Linked DNA regions of Caenorhabditis elegans. The protein of the gene in region 2 interacts with the protein of the main gene of each other region in a pairwise test. Each region holds a gene or a part of one and is shown on either strand. Other genes may lie near its edges. The genes, in order: F08D12.7, mpz-4, T01D3.6 and C44C10.5.

The links.
Region 1: the proteins of mpz-4 (region 2) and F08D12.7 interact in a two-hybrid assay, tested with the Caenorhabditis elegans proteins (one large-scale study listed by BioGRID).
Region 3: the proteins of mpz-4 (region 2) and T01D3.6 interact in a two-hybrid assay, tested with the Caenorhabditis elegans proteins (one large-scale study listed by BioGRID).
Region 4: the proteins of mpz-4 (region 2) and C44C10.5 interact in a two-hybrid assay, tested with the Caenorhabditis elegans proteins (one large-scale study listed by BioGRID).

What each region holds. Positions count from the first base shown.
Region 1 is NC_003280.10:2,766,732-2,770,682, forward strand, and holds F08D12.7 (T20D4.11-like domain-containing protein), read right to left. Parts: upstream 2,391-3,951; 5' UTR 2,387-2,390; coding exon 2,183-2,386; intron 2,127-2,182; coding exon 1,953-2,126; intron 1,895-1,952; coding exon 1,577-1,894; intron 854-1,576; coding exon 539-853; 3' UTR 519-538; downstream 1-518. Other genes in the region: F08D12.15 (F-box associated domain-containing protein), read left to right, coding at 1-499; fbxb-105 (F-box domain-containing protein), read right to left, coding at 3,063-3,951.
Region 2 is NC_003282.8:4,824,976-4,829,280, reverse strand, and holds mpz-4 (PDZ domain-containing protein), read left to right. Parts: upstream 1-1,960; 5' UTR 1,961-2,015; coding exon 2,016-2,117; intron 2,118-2,415; coding exon 2,416-2,526; intron 2,527-2,574; coding exon 2,575-2,792; intron 2,793-2,839; coding exon 2,840-2,988; intron 2,989-3,043; coding exon 3,044-3,354; intron 3,355-3,399; coding exon 3,400-3,575; intron 3,576-3,619; coding exon 3,620-3,761; 3' UTR 3,762-3,793; downstream 3,794-4,305. Other genes in the region: tat-2 (Phospholipid-transporting ATPase), read left to right, coding at 433-530, 637-754, 1,170-1,205.
Region 3 is NC_003283.11:13,714,857-13,720,941, forward strand, and holds T01D3.6 (IgGFc-binding protein-like), read left to right. Parts: upstream 1-1,992; 5' UTR 1,993-2,012; coding exon 2,013-2,125; intron 2,126-2,389; coding exon 2,390-2,537; intron 2,538-2,585; coding exon 2,586-2,707; intron 2,708-2,752; coding exon 2,753-3,094; intron 3,095-3,149; coding exon 3,150-3,546; intron 3,547-3,592; coding exon 3,593-3,718; intron 3,719-3,777; coding exon 3,778-4,731; intron 4,732-4,796; coding exon 4,797-5,163; intron 5,164-5,217; coding exon 5,218-5,432; 3' UTR 5,433-5,546; downstream 5,547-6,085. Other genes in the region: zipt-9 (Zinc transporter ZIP9), read right to left, coding at 1-117, 166-271, 319-414.
Region 4 is NC_003284.9:11,688,655-11,693,487, forward strand, and holds C44C10.5 (DUF4456 domain-containing protein), read left to right. Parts: upstream 1-1,886; 5' UTR 1,887-1,892; coding exon of another isoform or gene 1,893-2,135; intron 2,136-2,344; 5' UTR 2,345-2,655; coding exon 2,656-2,832; intron 2,833-2,951; coding exon 2,952-3,201; intron 3,202-3,254; coding exon 3,255-3,313; intron 3,314-3,357; coding exon 3,358-3,558; intron 3,559-3,655; coding exon 3,656-3,802; 3' UTR 3,803-4,001; intron 4,002-4,069; 3' UTR 4,070-4,313; downstream 4,314-4,833. Other genes in the region: C44C10.10 (Rad50/SbcC-type AAA domain-containing protein), read left to right, coding at 1,660-1,800, 1,893-2,135; smcl-1 (Structural maintenance of chromosomes-like protein 1), read left to right, coding at 4,812-4,833.

The DNA.
Region 1 (3,951 bases), on a different chromosome or scaffold from region 2:
AGTAACCGTCCCAAAGACTATGCTGGAGAATTGCATCAACAATGATCAACACAAGAAAATCACCTATTTTTCTCTATTCCCAGAAAGACATCTAATGCCAAATCATAAAATTCACTGTCTCAATTTGGGTTCAGTTTCATATGAGCTTCCTGGTCGCGGAAAAAATTTACAGCTGGACGATGTACTCCTCATGAACTGCTCCAAACTATGCCTATTCCCTTGTAAATTGTCTTCCCAGGAATTAAACATTTTCATTAGGCTATATATAGCTCAACCTAATCGACAGCTGGAAACAGTCGAGCTTCATCGAACTAATGAAGGAATCTGGAAGGTGGAGGATTCGATGAAAGGGATTTCTTATTCAATCTGGAATAAAAACCCCGGCAATAACCATAAACTTGAAAAACGCATCAAGTTCACCCAAAATGACGAAACAATGATGCATTTGGACTGGAAATTGGATAGTATACGTTGTTCTACTGTGATTACTATTGAATGAGACTTTTTTCAATACTTTTGACTATAAACCTTTTATTCATCAACACCCAAAATGTTTCTTAATTGTCTCGGCGGTTTTCTCATAATTCTCAACAGCCTTCTTCCCACACGAAGCTTCCATAACAGTCCTCGTGCATTCTTTCAGCTTTGTGTGCCGCTCACATGTTTCTTCTTTTTTCGAGCCCGCAATGTTATGGTCCCCGATGCAGGGGAACTTTTTTGCGGTCGGCTTGTCGAGCATCATCTTCCGTTTGCAGATGAAAAACTCGGTGCTGTAGAGCTCAAACCAGTCCTTTTTGCTCTGGAAGATCAGGCGTTCCAGGTCGTTGTAGGAGCATGATTTTGAGATGCATTTCTGGAATGAGAACGGATTTTGGAAAATTTGAAAATTTAGCTGATAGCTTATAGTTTACGTATATCAGGGATTAGCGGCATTTTCAATTTCAGCAATATGCCGATTTGCCGGAAATTTTCAATATTTTGCCAATTTGCCGATTTGCCGGAAATTTTATAATCCAGCAAGTTGCCGATTTGCCGATTTGCAGGAAATGTTCAATTCCGACCATTTACAGGTTTGCCGACTTGCCAGAAAATTGTATTTTCGACAAATTGTCAGCTTGTCAATTTGCCGATTTGCCGATTAGCCCAATTTTTAATTCCGGCAATTTGCCGATTTGCCGGAAATTTCAATTCCGGCAGTTTGTCGGTTTGCCAGAAATTTTCATTTTCGGCAATTTGCTGGTTTTGCGATTTGCCGGAAAGTTTCAATTCCAGCAAACTGCCGATTTGCCGACTTGCCGAAAATTCGAGCAATTTGCCGATTTGCCGGAAATCTTCAATTCCAACGATTTTCCGGGTTGCCAGAAATGTTCAATTTAAGCAATTTGCCGTTTTGCCGGAAATTTTCAATAATTTGCCAATTTGTCGATTTGCCGGAAATTTCAATTGCGCCAATTTGCCCACTTCCCGAAATTTTTCCGTTTTTTCCGGCAAATTCGGCAAATTATCAAGTTGCGGAATTTGCCGATTTTCCGGAAATTTTCAATGGTGTATACCACAATCAACGCTAAAATCTTGCCTCTGCATCCTCAAAAAGCTGCAGAAACTCCACCAAATTCGTGTCATTCGACTGTACGTCTACCCAGTTGATCTCCCGCTCCTTCGCCACAATACCACTTTCCAGAGCTTCACACTGAAGTTTATTGAACGCATGGTGCAGTCTATTGCAGTTGTCCTGAAAGCCTCCCGGCACAGTTGTGAGCACATTAATCAGGTTGTCATAGTTGAAGTTGGAGCTCAGGATGGCTACAGTCTCCTCGGAGCATTCCTTGCCAATGACCTGGAAGAAGCAGAACCGGCCTGATGTGTAGGATACGCGGCGAGCTGGGAGGTCGTCCTGGAATTATTTTAATTTTTTTTGAGTGCACATTTGAAATAAAAAGCTCCAGACTCACAGTCAAATAATCCCGTTCTCCTGTGCAATTGTACTTCTCATTATACACTGCTAAATAGAACTTTGTCATGCAAGGCTGCACATTTCCGGTCATCAACTCGAGCCCATCACAGGCATCCCTCATACTTTCATAGGTATGGGCTCCTTTTTTACACGTCGCTGCTTTAAAACACGTCTGGAATATATGAGAAATTATTGAAATTTCTGGAAAATCCGATATCTAAGCCTAACCTTAATATCTGTACACAAATCATTCATCTTTTTCAGAGTCTCGGCTTTGGGCTTCACGTGCTCATGCTTGCTGATAATCGGCCCAAGCTCTGCGACCATCAGGAGACACTTGTCCGAGTCGCACGGCTCAGTGGAGTTTTGAGAGCTCACCGGGCTCAGGGTGTACAGAAGTGTTAAGTAAAATGTTAAAGTTGGTTTTAGCATGGCTGGAATATAAATTCGATTAAAAATTCGGAAACACAAATCAAAATGTATTTTTATATCAAAACGAAATGTCTATCTATCTGTTTCTGATTTCTCTGTCTTCAAACATCACAACAAATTGACGACAGGTGGCGCATCCTCCGAGAAGATCTTTAAGCAGTGGGGGATGAGAGGGAGAGCAAAAAACATGTGACACATGTTCCCTGGGTGAAATTTGCCTAAACACTTTATAATTTAAACAAAAATAGAGATTTTTAAAGAGTTTTCCGGTAGTTTAAATTTAGTTGAGTAAAGCTAAAACTCTTAAAACGTTCAAAAGTGATAGGTCACATTTAAAAGAAAAATATTAATATTTATTATCACATTTTTTAATTGAACCTGAGTCATCTGTTTTTCAATAGTTTTAACATTTATTAGTGTATTCGATGCAAGTAGAAAAGCTTGGGCTTAGGCCTAGGCCTAGGCTTAGGCTTAGGCTTAGGGGGAAAAAGAGAGGAAAAAGTTACATAAAATTTAGAAGTTAGAAAAAAAAAACAAAAAAAATGAGGAAACAAAAAATCATGAATAATAGCCCGAACAAAAGAAGTGGCAAAAAAGTTTTGCAGGGTTGGAGAGTTGTAGAAAATTGTAGAAAATAAAAAGGTATTACACAGACCAACACAGTTATACAATAAAGTCAATAAACTCGCATTACAATTTTCTCAACTCCTTCAAATAAGTACGTCTGCATCGCCAACCTTCTTCCACAATTTTGGTATACATAGATAGTATCACCAAGTTGGTAGTCGTTTTCGTTTCGAGCCACAATTTTTAGCTCCGCCGAGTACACCGAGTGAGAAATTCCTTTCAACAAAATTTGCATGTTCCTGGTCGCTTCAGCACAAACAATGCCGACAATTTTGAGCCTCCGATTCGATCCACTAATCAAGTGCCTGATGAAAATGTTCAACTCTTCGAAAGACAGATGATGAGCGGAAATATTTAGTTGGGAGACGTTGGTGATCAATAAATCATTTAACGTGAGAGCTTCTCTAGTATCATCTTTGGAAAATGAAACACGTTCGAAGTGTCGAGTAAGTACTTTATGCTTTTGCATGGACGGTTCAATGTTGAATGATAAATTAAAGGATATATCATTGCTTTGGACATTGGCGACTACACTCTGGACAACAGTATCCGAGCAAAAACTAAAAAAAATTGTCTCAGTTTTTAGTTCCTTCACTGCATTGCTCAAACTTATATAGTGCTCTTCATGACCTATTCTGGAAATGTAAATTTCGTGAATCCTCGAGCAATTGAATATTTCCATAACATGATCGATCCAATCCCGAAGTTTGAATCCTCTTTTCACCCATACTCTGTCAGACTCGGGCTCCAACGGTGTCAAAGTTTCTGTGGCGGTTACTGATTCGCAACTCTCAAAATTCCATCGACCATAGTCTTTCTTGAAGAAAACCAACGAAGTTACTTCTTGATTGTGTGACAAAATATTAATATCAATTGATAAAAATGCTTTGATACTAATTTGTTGAATATCATTCTTCAGGTGCATTACATGAGACTTT
Region 2 (4,305 bases):
CAGTGAATAAAAGATAATCAGCAATTTTTAAAAAATCTTTGAAACAATAATTTCGGAAAATTTCAAATAACTTTTTTTCAACTTTTTGCAACTTTGTGCAGTTACAGACAAATTTCCATTTAGAATTTAATTGTTTTCAAATGTTAGCATTATCCGAGACATTTTTCATGCTTTTAGCCATGAATAACCAAACTCAAAATAAGTTCACGTCCCACTACTAATTGTACAGTAATCATATTTATTAATTTATAATGTTGTTGAAACATTCCATTAAATTTTTCGAACAAAACTTTTTTTCACTTTGTTTGAAGGCAGTAAAACTTTGAAGCAGTAATTTTTAAAATCTCAAGGGTAACATACTTATGGGCTAACTTTTCAGTTTTGTTTTTACAAAAAATTATCCATTTGCCCTTCTAATATAATATATTTCAGGACAGCCAAGGAGCTTCAAGTATTAATGCAATGCACCTTCCAATGGGTACACGTCCACAGAATGTACCCCATACATTGAATGTAAATACTGATGACTGGTAAGTTTTCACATAAAATTTTACACACTTCTAAAGCACGTTGCTTCACTTCTGATATACTTACCGTACTTCTATTGTAACTCTATTGTGTGCCATTTATTCACAGGTCTCAATCATCGGATTTCCGTCCAGCCTATGCAAAGGAACCATCACCACTGCAGGGTACAGTAATCCGTGGCGATGGACGGAGCCATAGAAACCACGTGTATTCGCGGGAAACTCAGGTATAATTGTGCTCCATCCGGTTCTGCCGCTTTTTATCCAAATCTGGCGTTTGTAAATAATTTTCATAATGAATTCTTATTTGTTTCAATTTGCTCAAATTATCTAATTTTGTGTGTACTTGTGTTTGTGTGTTACTTATTTATTATAGTTAGAACTTAATTTTTTTCTTTTTAAATATTAATTTTTATGCATTTTGAGATTACAACTATTCAACATACAGTACTCCTATGGAATACTGTAATTTATTCACTTTTGACCTACTTTTTGATCTCGTGCAGTGCAGTGTGTGCTTTCATTTGAACCCTTTGTGCTTTGACCCTTTTTCTGTTAGTTTTCAACTTTAATTCATTTTTTTTGCAATAAATTTACTTTTGATACATTTTTTCTAAATATAATATTTTATTTTTCCAACAGGTCGAAGAACAACCAGACGTAATCACTCGCCTTTAAAATTCATTTTTTGCATTTATTTTCCGATTTTCTTTCAAACATTCTTCCCCGTCTTGTAGGCACCGGTTTTAGGCTCTCAATTGGGTTTTGTTTGCTCTTTTTCTTCAATTTGCTGTAATTATATAATTGGTGATCGCTGATAATGTGATTGATATCAAAATGGGTAATTTATGATGTATTCCAATCGTGTAATTTTTGAAATATTCAATAAATAATTGTTCATATTCTTGTTGTTGATTAATATATCAGTGTCTATAAAAATTTAATTAAACAAGCAGTGGCAGAAAAAAATTTCAAAAAAAAATGCAGTTTCAAGACATTATTATTACTTTTTTTTAACAAAGGTAACACAAAGTAACAGTTTTTAAAAAATTCTATAGTTTCTCGAAATTGGTGAAAAAGTTTGGATTTCACAATTTAATTTGCTTCGTTGGTAAGTAATTTTCAAACTCACACGTTTCAACGATTTATTTATTTATTTATTTTAATACGATTCCATACGAATCGTGTCCCAAGAAAAAACATAAAACATAAATGATTGATTTTGAATCACGCGATTTTGCAGTTTTATGCCGAAAACATTCTCAATAAGTTCAGTTCTAAAAAAAAGTTAGAAAATCACGTTGAAAAAGATTTAATAATTCTGACCTTTGATATTTTATCTTCACGTTCGATCAATTGCTCTAATTTTTTATTCCCTCCCCCCCACCCCCTCTTATCATTGTTCTTCTCGATTCTAATTTATTTCACAACAATCGATAATTCAAGTATCAAACAAATTCAATTCAAAGCATTTGATAGCTTGAAAAGATGCCACAAGAAATTCCACCTGCAGTCAAATATAAAATCTATCCGGAAGGTGCAGAGGGAATAGACACGGTTTGGGAGCGGCCCGGATTCAAGAAGGGAGAGGTGAGAGGGGTTTTTTGGAATTTGGAAGTTGGATTTGGAATCGAAACAGTGAGAAATTTGAATAATAATTTTTGAACTTTATTCAAGATTTTTTTAATAATTAATTTATTTTTCTTCATTGTGAACAATATTTCTTGAACTAAGTAATTGAGGCAGTCGGGGGTGTTCGAAAGAATATTTTATTATAGAATCAAACTTTCTTTTTTTTAATGGTTTAATGGTTTTTTTAATGGTACACTAGTAGTGAAACATAATTTTATTTTAAAAGTTATTTCTATTCTAGAAACACGTATTTCAGATAGAAGCTCGAGTCAAAGATGTGGTCATTCTGCGTGGAGAACCAGTTCCAAACAGCTACAAAATGCTTGTAGAGGCCACATTTGAGCTCCCAAAGAAGGATAAAATAACGGTAAGCGACATCATCAATGACTTTATGTAAAACGTTTTTGATTTCCAGCAACTCGGACTCGTCAATCGACATGGGTTGGTCACTCGTGTTCATTACGCGAGCCCATTCAAAGGAGCAATTCTACCGGGTGACATCATCTTGCAAGTGAACGGTACGACTGTCTCATTCGATGAGAAACAATTGACAGAGCATGTCGACGAGACCACCGGTGGAGCAAGTCTCCAGTCAAATGTGAAGACTGTTAAGAGGAAGCCAACGACTACACCGTAAGGACAAATGTTATGAAAACTTGAAAAATATTTACCTTATTAAGGAAAACTGAACCTGTGAGAGCACCACATTCACTTTATCCAGACTTCAAGGTTGTTGTCGGAAAGATTTTGAACTCAAAATCTGAGACAAAGATTACGGTTCTGGTCGCTAGATTGAAGAACAGAATGTCTACGTCTAAGATTCCAAATGGTAAGTTTGAATATTTGTTTCTTATTGTGAAACAGTAATTTTCATATAATTTCAGGTATCTTAGCCACACAGGATCACACCATCGATTTGGCCATTCTCTACCAATTCAAATACCTGCAGCTTGGTCTGAACGTGCAGCAGGTCGACAGAAAAGTGGTGGTCAACTACACTATTCCGGATTCAGTTTCACATTGTAGTTTGAATATTGGTGAAGCTATTATTGCTGTTGATGATAAACCAATCAACACTCTGGCAGATAATCGTCAACGATTTCGCGAAGGATTTGAGGCGAATGGATGGATTCGATTGTTGGTTGAGTATCCGAATACGGATCCAATCAAAAATATGGTTCGGGGACAGCTTGCAGTTGGTTATTTGCCTCACATTTTTTTTCTTCTATTTTAATTGCAGAATGTTATGAGAACTGCCGAACGACCGCAATACTTGCTTTGTGGAGATGTCCGTAAATACTTTGTAGAAGGAATTGAAGCTCTGAAAAATGGAAAAGCGTTGGCTCCCATTTTAAAAGAGGAAGAAGGGCCGGGAGAAGTTGGGAAGAAGAAGAGTGATGCGAAAGTTACCAAAAAGTATGTTTTTAAATAAATTAAGATAAAATCTTCAACTAATTCAGGGACCCGGCTGTTGGATTCAACAACACAACTGAAGAATTTTTTATTCCGGCGGAATGGAACTCGAAGCTTTTCGTTTGGCTCCCGCCGCTGAAGACCAAGGTGACCGAATCGGCATCTTCGAACATGCCGGTTAAAAAATGAACTTCATTCTTCTTTAATAAAACATTTGACTGATCTCGGGCGGGCTCGAACCACCGACCTTCTGTGTGTTAGACAGCACAGGTAAAGCGCTAAAAGCGAGACATTAACCAAATGTACGTGAAGGCCCGCTAAAAAGCCAATGATGGGTCGCACCTAAAAATTTTTTTTTTAATTATTGGAAAATCTAACATCGGTGATGGAACAATTTAACATTTTTTGGAAAATACTTTAGTTAAACATTAATTTCAGCTAGATTGTTTTATTCAATCATTTCAAATTTCCGAAAAATTTTTTTGAAAATCAGCTTTTATATATTTTTATCAATTAAAAAAAAACACCCGTACAAGCTATTATACTCTGTTCGGCATTTGCTGCTATTTTTGACTATGCTTAAGAGTTTTATGAAATAAAAAAGAATGACTCCATATGATTTTACAGGACTTTTGAATTTTTGAAAAAATCAGCTTTTATATATTTTTATCAATTTTTAAAAAAATACTTCCGTACAAGCTATTATACTTTGATTGACAGATTCTGGTGTTTT
Region 3 (6,085 bases), on a different chromosome or scaffold from region 2:
CCTCTTTATCCTTCGCATTTTCTAGAATTTGCTTTGCTTCAGCTGGATTCACAATCGCTCCTTCAGGTGATACAACCGGATTTATATGGTCGTGATGGTTGTGTTGATGGACAGCGCCTGAAAGTTGGTTTTAAATAATAATTTTTCACTAAAAAATATATTTACCACACTGTGCTCCATACAAAGCTTCAATTCCTTCTGGAATAATAACCGAAAGCGCAGTTCCAACGAGCAGTCCAGCGCCGAATATACTCACTAATCGAATTCGAGACTGCAATTAAAAAAAAATTATTTGAATCAGAAAAACAAAAAACTCACTTCAGATAAACTGAACATCAAAGGTATCGAGCCGGCCATGTAGCTGCCAAAAAACATTGCCGATGAGAGCACCAAGAGGAAACTTACCCCCTCCATTGTCTGAAAATCAATAATTTATGTAAATAAAATGTTTTAACAAATAGAAAAGTCCAGGTTACGTTTTTTGGCAAGTGAAAGAACATGAATTGGCAAAACGAATAGAGATGAAGCGCCGATAAAACTGAAAACAGTGAAAACAAAGCAAAAGAAAAAATTCATTTAATGCGTGCGGTAGAGCGCGGTTGCGTTGACACGTCACACACGCTGTGGGAAACATTATCTGGAGAAACGGATTTCTCATGAGGTATGTTAACGAGGACGCAATTTTAAATTAAATAATCTGTTAGAATATTCTCAAATTCCATAAACGTTATTTGAAAATTTATACTTGTAGCTGGAAAAATAGGGATCATTAGAATTTGTAATTCTGCGGAGTGTGCCTTTCCGGGAATTTGTGTGATCTCATTTTGATATGTGGATTCAATGTGACATTGAAACATTAAAACAGCGACCTGAAAACAAAAAAGAATTACCCAGATGCGAAATTTTGCGATGTATGCGCTAAAAATACGATAGCCGGTATCGACACGACAAATTTCTGTCAAATGCAAAAGGATGTGCGCCTTTAAAGAGTACTGTAAGTTGGAACTTTTGTTTCTGGCGAATTTTAATCGTTCAACAGTAAAAAAAAACATAAATTTACACAAATTGTGGCAGAAACTTAGAAAAATCGATAAAATTCGGCAGAAACGAGAGTTCGAAAATACAGTACTCTTTAAAGGCGCACATTCTTTCGCATTTGACAAACACTTGTCGTGGCGAGACCGGGCACCGTATTTTTGGTGCAAAAGTCGTATAATTTCACTGCTGGCTAATGTAAATATCAGCGTTCGATTTTTTAAATTAAATAACAGTAAATTTTGAAAATTTTGTACCCATTTCAATTCTTGAGCATGATATATATTCTTCAAAACAATTTTCAACTTTCCAGTGGGCTGCAGGCTACACCCGCGTGGGAGAGACCACCTGTGCCCTTTCGATATCAGAAACTTGAAACCACAAGACCTTCATCAATAAAACAAATAATATTGAACTTATTATCTTCAAAAGTTTTATTACGTGTGCCGACGATGTAACTTGTGCCAGTCTCATAGAACATTGTTCTAAAGTTAAAAATTTTCTAGATGAATTCCGCATAGGCGTGGTTTCAGAAAGAAGACCAAAGAAACAATTTTCGCACGATCTTCAAAAAAAGTCATCATTGATTCAGGAAATGGTAAATTATCGGAAACAGCTGAAAGGTTAATTACTCACGTTTTTCTCCGAGAAGCTTCAAAGAGAATCATGACGAAAACGATGATGATGAGTTGATAGTTTGCACCCGAATTATCGTTTTCTTTACAATTTCTTCGCTCCTCCAATCTTCAGCATTTCCCTATTCAAATATATAACACTATGATAATCGCCTTCAACACTATGAATCAAGTGGAAATGTCGCGGAGCACACTGATAATAATTGTATTTGTGGGAAAAGAGCAAACTAGTCCAACGATGTGAATTCTATGACGATGATTTCAGGTAGAGGGCAGAAACTCTGATAAGAATAGTTTATAAGGGCCTGAAGAGTTTCAGTTTGTGTGGAGAGGAAGAGCACAATGGCTCTCTTCAAACATTTGGCTTTATGCCTTCTTTTAACTCTCGCTGCAGCCGAGGATGACCTCAAGTGTTATGGAGCTGATTGTGAGGTTCCACATTATATGGATGATACGTAAGTTCTGAAGGGTTACTGTAGAAATTTGTGTTCATAGATTTTGACTTAAAATTAAATACTATGAAATGTGATTTTTAAAAACATACTTTTTCCTTATACTGTTATTTGTTCAGAAAAGTCGGAATGAGAGTTAATATTTTTTTTAGAATAAACAATTTTTAGCTAGATCTGAAAAGCCCAGTGAATATCAATTTTTCTTCAAAATCTAGTCCAACAAGACAGTACTCTATTTTCTCCAATTATCTATTTATCTAATTCCAGTGAACAATGCTCCGGCCTCGAATGTGAATCGAAAGAAACTCTTCTCGCCATGATCAGCCATTACCAAAAGGAGAAACACGATGAATACTTGGCACCACTCACAAAGCCGATTAGGGACGAAAGTGCGGTTCGCAATTTCCTGAACGAAGTGAGTGTTTAATCTTAAAACTTTTTAGAACAAAGATTATTATTTCAGGTTGCTGTCACCGGAGACCTCGCCGCCACAGTATCACCACAATGCAGTATTTGCAGTCAACCAGGACTTTGTAACAGCGGACAGTGCGTTCCAGACGCACGATTCCCATGGCAATATTTCTAGTACGTTTAAAGCTTCAACAATTTAAAAAAAAGTTCTATTTTCAGCTGTGTCTGCCCAGACTATGCATCTGGAAGATTCTGCCAAAATGAGATAAAGTGTAAGGATAACTCTTGCGGAAAGAATGCCGATTGCTATGTGGCAAACCATCAGCTTAACTGTATTTGTAAGCCAGGATACACAGCCCGTAGAAATGGAAGAGATTGTGATATGAAAGTTCAACAAGCTTGCATGAGTGGAGATCCTCATTATGTCACTTATGATGGTCTTCGTTTCGACTACCAAGGAACTTGCCCATATGTATTCTCTCAACCATGCACAACACTTCCAGCTCCATATTTGTGGTATTCAGTCAGAGCCAAGAACGAGCTGCCAGGAAAGGGATATCAGTAAGTTTAACTACTCGTAAACCATAGAGATCAAATTTCATTCACTAATTTTCAGCATCTCTCAAGTATCTGAAGTTGAAGTTGATCTTCACAACTTAACAATTCACGTTGATGGACGCTCAAAGACAGCTCTGGTAAATGGAGTTCAAGTTCTTACCCCATGGTACTTCCCAAACAAAAACACCTGGACCGTGAGAGTTCGTTTCTCTGGATCTACATTCACAATTGAAAATGATCAAGGAGTCGTTGTCACTTTCACAACTTACAATTCTCTTTGCGTTCAAGTACCAGACATCCCAGAGTTCAACGGAGCTACCACCTTGTGTGGATTGGCTGGAAATATTGATGGAAAGAAGTTGGATGACGTCGTCAACAAGAATGGATCCGTATTGGCAATCAAGTCGAGTCGTCAACCTGAGAACAACAATCATGCCGATTTCATGAAGACTGAGGTACGGATTCTGAATGAATGACTTGAAATCATATGTAATTATTCAGGATACCTGGATCACCGACAAGTTCCTGATCCTTCGCCCAGGCCAAGAGAACTGTATCAACGGCCAGACACTCGATAACAACACAAATTGCGTCAGTACTAGTATTAGTCTAGCCCAGAGTTGCGCGGTACCGCTCAACCTCTCCCTTTCCACCTGTTTCTTTTGCAAAAACTTATGATTTTTCAGGATGTTGCAACAGCTTCTCAAACGTGCTACCCAATTCAACAAGCTGAGATGGGACTCGGAACATTCGGGGCTTGTCAGGGACTTGGAAATGATACTCTTGAAGATTTCTACTACAATTGTATTTACGATATCTGTCGTAATCCAGCATTTAAGTGCACAGAGTTCACATACTTCCTTCAATACTGTCAATTGGCTCTTCCACAAGTTGCAATGAACCAGAACTGGCGCGCCCAGATCAACTGTCCACTTGCTTGCCCATTAAATGCTCATCCATCTACTTGCACATCATCTTGCCCATCAACTTGTGCTGAACCATTCCCAGAGTATTGTGATCAAGGTTGTGTTGATGGATGTGAATGTGATCCAGGATATGTCATTGATAATACTGTAACTGGATCTATCAAATGTATCCGACTTGATCAGTGTGGATGTGTTGATTCCGATGGAAACGCTCACAGACCAGGAAAACCATGGGTTACTCAGAACTGTACAATCTATCACGAATGCCAAAATGGAACAATGTGGAGTGACTATCGTCCATGCTCAGATGATGGAAGTTGCGTTCTCAATTCAATTGATATGCAATGCAAGTGTAACAATGGATACCGTGGAGATGGATACAACTGTACTGATATCAATGAATGTGTTGAGACTCCCGGAATTTGCGGACATGGACAATGTGTCAACACTCCTGGATCTTACCACTGCACCTGCGATGACTTCTGGCTGGGAGACAACTGCAACACCTACAAGCCACGTCGTCACTGTGCCGATTTGTATGTCTACTGGGGAGTCAGAGAAAGTGGTGTTAACTCCATCAATCCACCATTCGTTCTTCCACAAAGAGCTAAGTTTGCTCCAATGAATGTTTATTGCGACATGACAACCAACGGAGGAGGATACACTTTGATGTCTTCAGATACTGCAGATTTGAATACTAATAAGACATTCCAAGTGAGTACTAATTCCAAATTTGTGAATTGATTGTGAGACAAATAATTTTAAAGTGAATTTTTCAGGACTACTTGATCGGATTCGGAAATCCAGCAACTCAATCTGTGTGGCTTGGACTCGAGTTCATTCACCAACTTACCACCTATCAGCCACAAAATCTTCGTTTGAACCTCTTCAGATGTGCCAGCAACGGACGCCCATCCCTTACTACTGATTGTACATACCCAACATTCAGTGTTCTTGACTCTACCACTCAATACTCTGTGGTGATCCGTGAGGCTTGTACCGGATCTGAAGCTGATGAGCATTACTATCAAGATGGTTGGGCAAGATGGGATTTGACTCAGAATGGACCAAAGTTCTCCACCTGGGATATTGAAGCACAGACCACAATTCCACCAACATTGAGAGCCAAGATGGAGGGCGATGCAAGTAAGTTTTCGAGCTATAACTTTTCAAATTTCCTAACTAATAATGCATTTTCAGTTTACTACACATGTTCCAAGTCCAACTTCAACACTGGATGGTGGTATGTCGAGGATCAACTTTGTGGAGCTGCCAACTTGAACGGTGTCCGATACACATGCCCAGTTATTCCAGTTGAAAATGAGCGTTACTTGAGATGGGCCGAGGGAACACTCGGACAATCGTGGATGTACTTGCGTCCAGTTGGATTCCCAAAATATGACACTAATATGTAATATGTTTGGGTTTTGAACATTCTCACATGAAATTGTATCTTTGAAGTTTTCAAATCTTTGTTACGAGTAAAATAATGAACAATTCACATTCTGAAACCACTCGCACATCAAATAATAATTAGCTTCACCGAGGATCTGATCCTGAGTTTGACAAGAAATTTAATAGAAAATGGCATGCCCACGAGTCTGCCGATTGGGTATTTCTTTATGATTCGGCTCTAAATTTAATAGTTTGTTTTAAATTATTCAAAAAAACATATTTAATTTTTCGATAGGCCAGTTGTGCAATCAAATATTTTGACAGAGAAACCTATAGAAAACGATTTTGCAAACACTCTGAATGCGAACAATGCTTTGCAAAATTCTTTTTTATGAACGCTCCTATATTTGATTTTTTTTGCAAAAGTGCAGTGACTGAAAAATGACTCCAAATTGCAAATAAACTGCACGTCAAAAACATGGAAATTTTGCCAACACAAGTTCACAACAAAAATCGGCGTTCAGTCTGTCTTGAAACGAGTTCAGAAAAGATGCTTTATCAATTGGCTCTCTTCGCACTTCTTGGTACCTCGGCATTCAGAGGCAACTTTCTGCCACACTTTGCCAACGTATTTAGTGCCACTAAAATAAGTTGCCAAACTGCTGGCAGGAAG
Region 4 (4,833 bases), on a different chromosome or scaffold from region 2:
GATTATATAGGTCACGAACTAATTTATTTTGAAAATTGACCTGTGGACCTATAACTTTGGAGATATGGTAAATTGAGTATGGGCTTTTAGATTTTCACGTTTTTAGGTGATTATCTAGGTCACGAACTAATTTATTTAGCAAGTTGGCCTGTTAGCCTATAACTTTGGGGATATGGGTAATCAAGTATGGGCTTTCAGATTTTCACGTTTTTACGCGGTTATCTAGGTTACGAACTAATTTAATTTGTAAATGAACTTGTGTGACTATAACTTTGGGGATATGTAATCAAGTATGGGATTCGGAATTTCACGTTTTCAGGTGATTAGCTAGGTCATGAACTCAACATTTTTAAAAATTCAGTTATGCTTGTATAAATTTTGTGACAAGCGTAGTCAAGTTCTAATTTTCAGAGTTTTATGTTTTATGTAATATGCTCTTTTATTCATTAGTTTCAGTCAGAAAATACATAATAACCGAAGTGTCGGAGCAAGATAAGCAAGTTTGTGAATTTTTATGAATCTTCCTTGTCTTCTTTTTTGAACTTTTATAAGAGTAATAACGAGATTTCATTGTAGATTAGAGGAGGGTGTCAGAACAGTTGAAAATGGCCGTGGCCGAACTTTGCCGCGTGTACTCCTCTCGGATAAAATAACATTTGAATTTATTAACAATAAACTTGATCTTTTGTAGAGTTTTCCATATTACTTTTATTTCTTTAGCCTTGTTTTCGAGTTTTTCAGTACAATTCAGTACATAATCATAGTTGCAAAATCATAATTAATTCAAAAAAAAAACTATTGGTTGAAAATTTGATTGTACAATAGATAAGATTTCCAGTTTTATTGCTCCATGCAACTAAATAATTTTTAAAACTAGTGTATTAGAGTTTTTAATTTCTCAACATCCGCTGTAGAGAGATTTTTGTATTACCCTTGCTTTTTCTCACTTGAATACGTTTTTTTAACGTGAGACGGCCTGTTATATTTATAACTTTTCAATTTCCACCTGGACTGTTTTGCTCTCGGACTGTTTTGTCGTCTAGAGAAATATCTAATTTTCACTTTTTCAGTTAGTCACTATAACTTCTACAGCTTAGCAAAAACAGTGCAAACTGTTTCAGAAAACCGCCCGTCCTTATAGCTTTGACAAATGTATACTTTTTTGTGGCCTTTCAAGATTTTGGAAAAACTATCCTAATTTCACCACTTTTCAGTGTCGAAGCTGTCCGAACTTGACACGTTTCTGAATAATAATTTTTTATTAAATATTTTAGTAGTTTATCTCATGCCATTTTATTGATTAAGTTACCTTTAAAGACGTTAGGCCACCAATTTTGGTGATTTTTGGTTACCTATCGGGTTAAAAATTATCTTAACCTCAACAAAATAAAATTAGATAAAATACGTAAAGGATGGTAATCTAATGAAAAGTAATTTCCAAAACCTGCGGCTCGGAAAATTGCGCAAGATTTGAGGTTTCAGCAAAAATAGTGTCAAAAAATGATGTTTCAAACTAATTCCCCTCTAACGATCCTCCTCCTGCAGATGTATTAGTTTTTCCCAATTCATCGCACCTGCCAAAAGATTTTCCCGGCCGAGAGTCTCGCTGTGTGTGACAAGAATGTAGTCTTGAACCATTGGCCGACCGTTTCCAAGATAATGGATCGTGAGATCACAACCCGAAAAAGATGTTGCAAGACAACATTTACAGCGTTATCGATCACCCATCATTTCATCTATTTATTCTTGCCTCTTTCCATGTCGGCCAGCGGAGGCTTTATTATTAAATTGATAGATTCGGTGTGTGCCTAGATTATTTTGTGCTCTATTTATTCATCACGTTAAATATTTTGTCTCCAAATAATTAATCCACTTTAAATTTTGTTTTTCAGATGACGCAGTTGTTGAGTATATCCGTCAAAAATTTTATGTGTCTAGAGGACGTGAAATACGAGTCTTTCGGCAAGATCACCACAATCACGGGACCAAATGGATGCGGAAAATCTGCATTGGTCCGGGCGATTGGAATTCTTACAGGAGATGAGGTGACGGAGTCTTCCAATCAGCAATATGCGGTGAGATTTGGAAAATATATAAATTTTTGGTACTTGTGGGTTTCGTTCCCCCCAAAATGATTTTTAATTATGTAACACTACCTTTTTATTTAAATCCACACGTGAATGTTTATTTTAATACGGTTTTCATTTTTACAAGGCTTAGAAAATCATTTCACTAAGCCTGAGAATGAAAAAAAAAGTTTACGTCTCAATTAGAAAATATGGAAATCATTTTGGGGGGAACGAAACCCATAAGTACCAAAATTTTAATTCAATTTAAATTTCAGGATTTTCTTCTTGACACCAGCCATCCGTGTGTTCTTATCATGGCTTGAAAACTGCCAGAAAAACGACCAAGTCGTTTAAATGCACGATTGACACAACTGACCGTACTTTCATGGTTGACAACTTGCATCGCACGAGAGAGGAGTATTTGCGGGAGCTTGATGACATCACACTTCGTGTTCACGGCAGAAAATTATCCGTCTACAGCTCGTCGTCAAAAGTTACACAAGATAACGCTGAAGATTTTGGTTTATTTTTGGAGGCTATCTTCGACTCAATTGAGCACAAGCCAAAGTACGATTGACTTTGCATTATGATTGAAGAATCTAAACAAAAAGTCGAAAAACACACGAAAATGAAAGAATTGATACAAGTGGAGCAGGGACAATTCATTTCTCTTCATCTCTACAGATTGTTTTTGAACGATTTGGAGAGAAAGTCATTAGAGAAAAAATTGACAAAGGAGCAAGTTAAACTCACCAATATCAAGGTTCGTTTATACTTTTTTGACACTTTGATTAAGCAGTTTGTTTACTGAGAGACTATATATCTTTCATTTATTTACTCAATCAAAATAAGAAAAACGTTTTAACAAGCCAATTTTTTCAGGCATCAAAACAATCGCAGAAAGTTACAAAAAGTGATGATCCAAAAGCAATTGCAAAACAAGCTCCTCCCGCAATGTTCAAGGTTCAAGGCTGTTCAAGGCTGGATGGTGACAGTTTATCCCAAGAGAACGCAGAAAAACCGGCTATTGTCATCGAACTAGAAAATCGACTCGTCCAACAACGTGCACAACGTCGAAAAATCATTGCAAATGTCACTTTACAGGATCTTGATATTCCTGCCAAAGAAGCAGGTATGTGACTCTGAATACAGTTTCAAATAGCATGGATTTACTTCAATATTTAGGTACGTTTTCCTACGACGTCAAACCGGATTATTCCTCCTTACCAGATGAGTTGAAGAAGGTAAGAAAATTTGCCGCCATTTGAAGAAAATTATTCAATTTCAGGAAAGCAACGATGCTGAAACAGTTAAGATGCATCTGCGTACTTTGGAGGAAACGATCCAGGCAACTCGTAACGAATGGGTTGCTGTCAATGGAGCAGAGTATCCGGATATGAGTAATATTTTAATAAGATTCCACGAGACGGACAGCTTTATTAACATAGCAAAGTTACGCACAACTGAGCTAGAAGCCGAAATTGAACAGGTTTATTTAATGTTTTTTTCTGTTTAAATTTTTATGAATTTCTCTGTACCTGTGTATAGAATTACCTTGGTTTTTTGAAGACATTGTTTCATTTCAGGTCAAAGCCAGTCGCCGTACTCATTTCAATCAACGCCTTGCTGCAGTATCATCGTCTGTGAGCAGAATCTATAGAGAGATTTCTGAGGATCCGGATTCCACCGTTTCACTTGCGTCATCCAATGAGGATGAACCGTATGAATGTTGATCTGTTTGTCGGAGGAATAAATGAAGATCTCGAGCCAACTCGCTTCCACCGCGGCGGATCAAGAGGAATCGTTGCTAATCTGGCTCTTGTTCTTGCACTTCACGAGCAAACGGCTTATTTGAAAAATGTGCAAACGCCTTCACCACTCCTCGTGGTTGATGACATTGACAAAAGAATGTCGGAAACGACAAGCAATAAGGTTGGTCAAAAAACAGAAGCTACGGCTCATCTAAAGATAAATTCACTGTTTAATTAAACAAATTTCAGGTCTGTTCGTATCTCACCGGCCAGGACAATACTCAATACATTGTAACCACCCACAACGACAGTTACTTCACTAAACACACCACAACTTTCAGCATGCCAGATATCTAATGTCTTTTTTTACGTGTATCTATTACAATGTTGATACATTTACAAAATATAAAGCCTGACGAAAATTCCTTCACGAACATTCCCGACCATACTCGTCTTTCTTAAATCCGAAGTCCCAAGCTATTTCAATGTGATTAGTATAATAAAGGCAGTTTACCACACTTTCGTTCTTTTTTAATATTCATAATAATAATACTTTTTTGTTATTGTTTGCTAGATAATACTAAAGACTATAGATATAAATATTGTCGGTTCAATTCCATTTCTGAGACGGAGAGCATGAAGTACATTTTCTGATTTAAATACATACTCGGCAAATCATTTCTTTCCCGTTCAACTGCTTTTTACACGATTTTGGCCATTTCTACAACAGTGTCGATAGTTTTTGTTTTGCAGATAGACGCAGAGAAAACCAGCACCCATACGAATGCAGGGTTTCTCCCTCGCTGCACTTGTGGCCGTGGCCTAAGAATACAAGACGTGCTCATCATTGTCTGCTATTTTTTTTGAATTAACTATTTGCGTTTGTTTTTTTTTGTCTTTTTTGTCTTCAATTTTCTTGTTTTAAAAATGTTATTTATCACAATTTGATGTTGATTCTGACCGCTTTTTTTAAATTTGTTTAATTGCAGACATGACGTACCCGCAGCAACGAC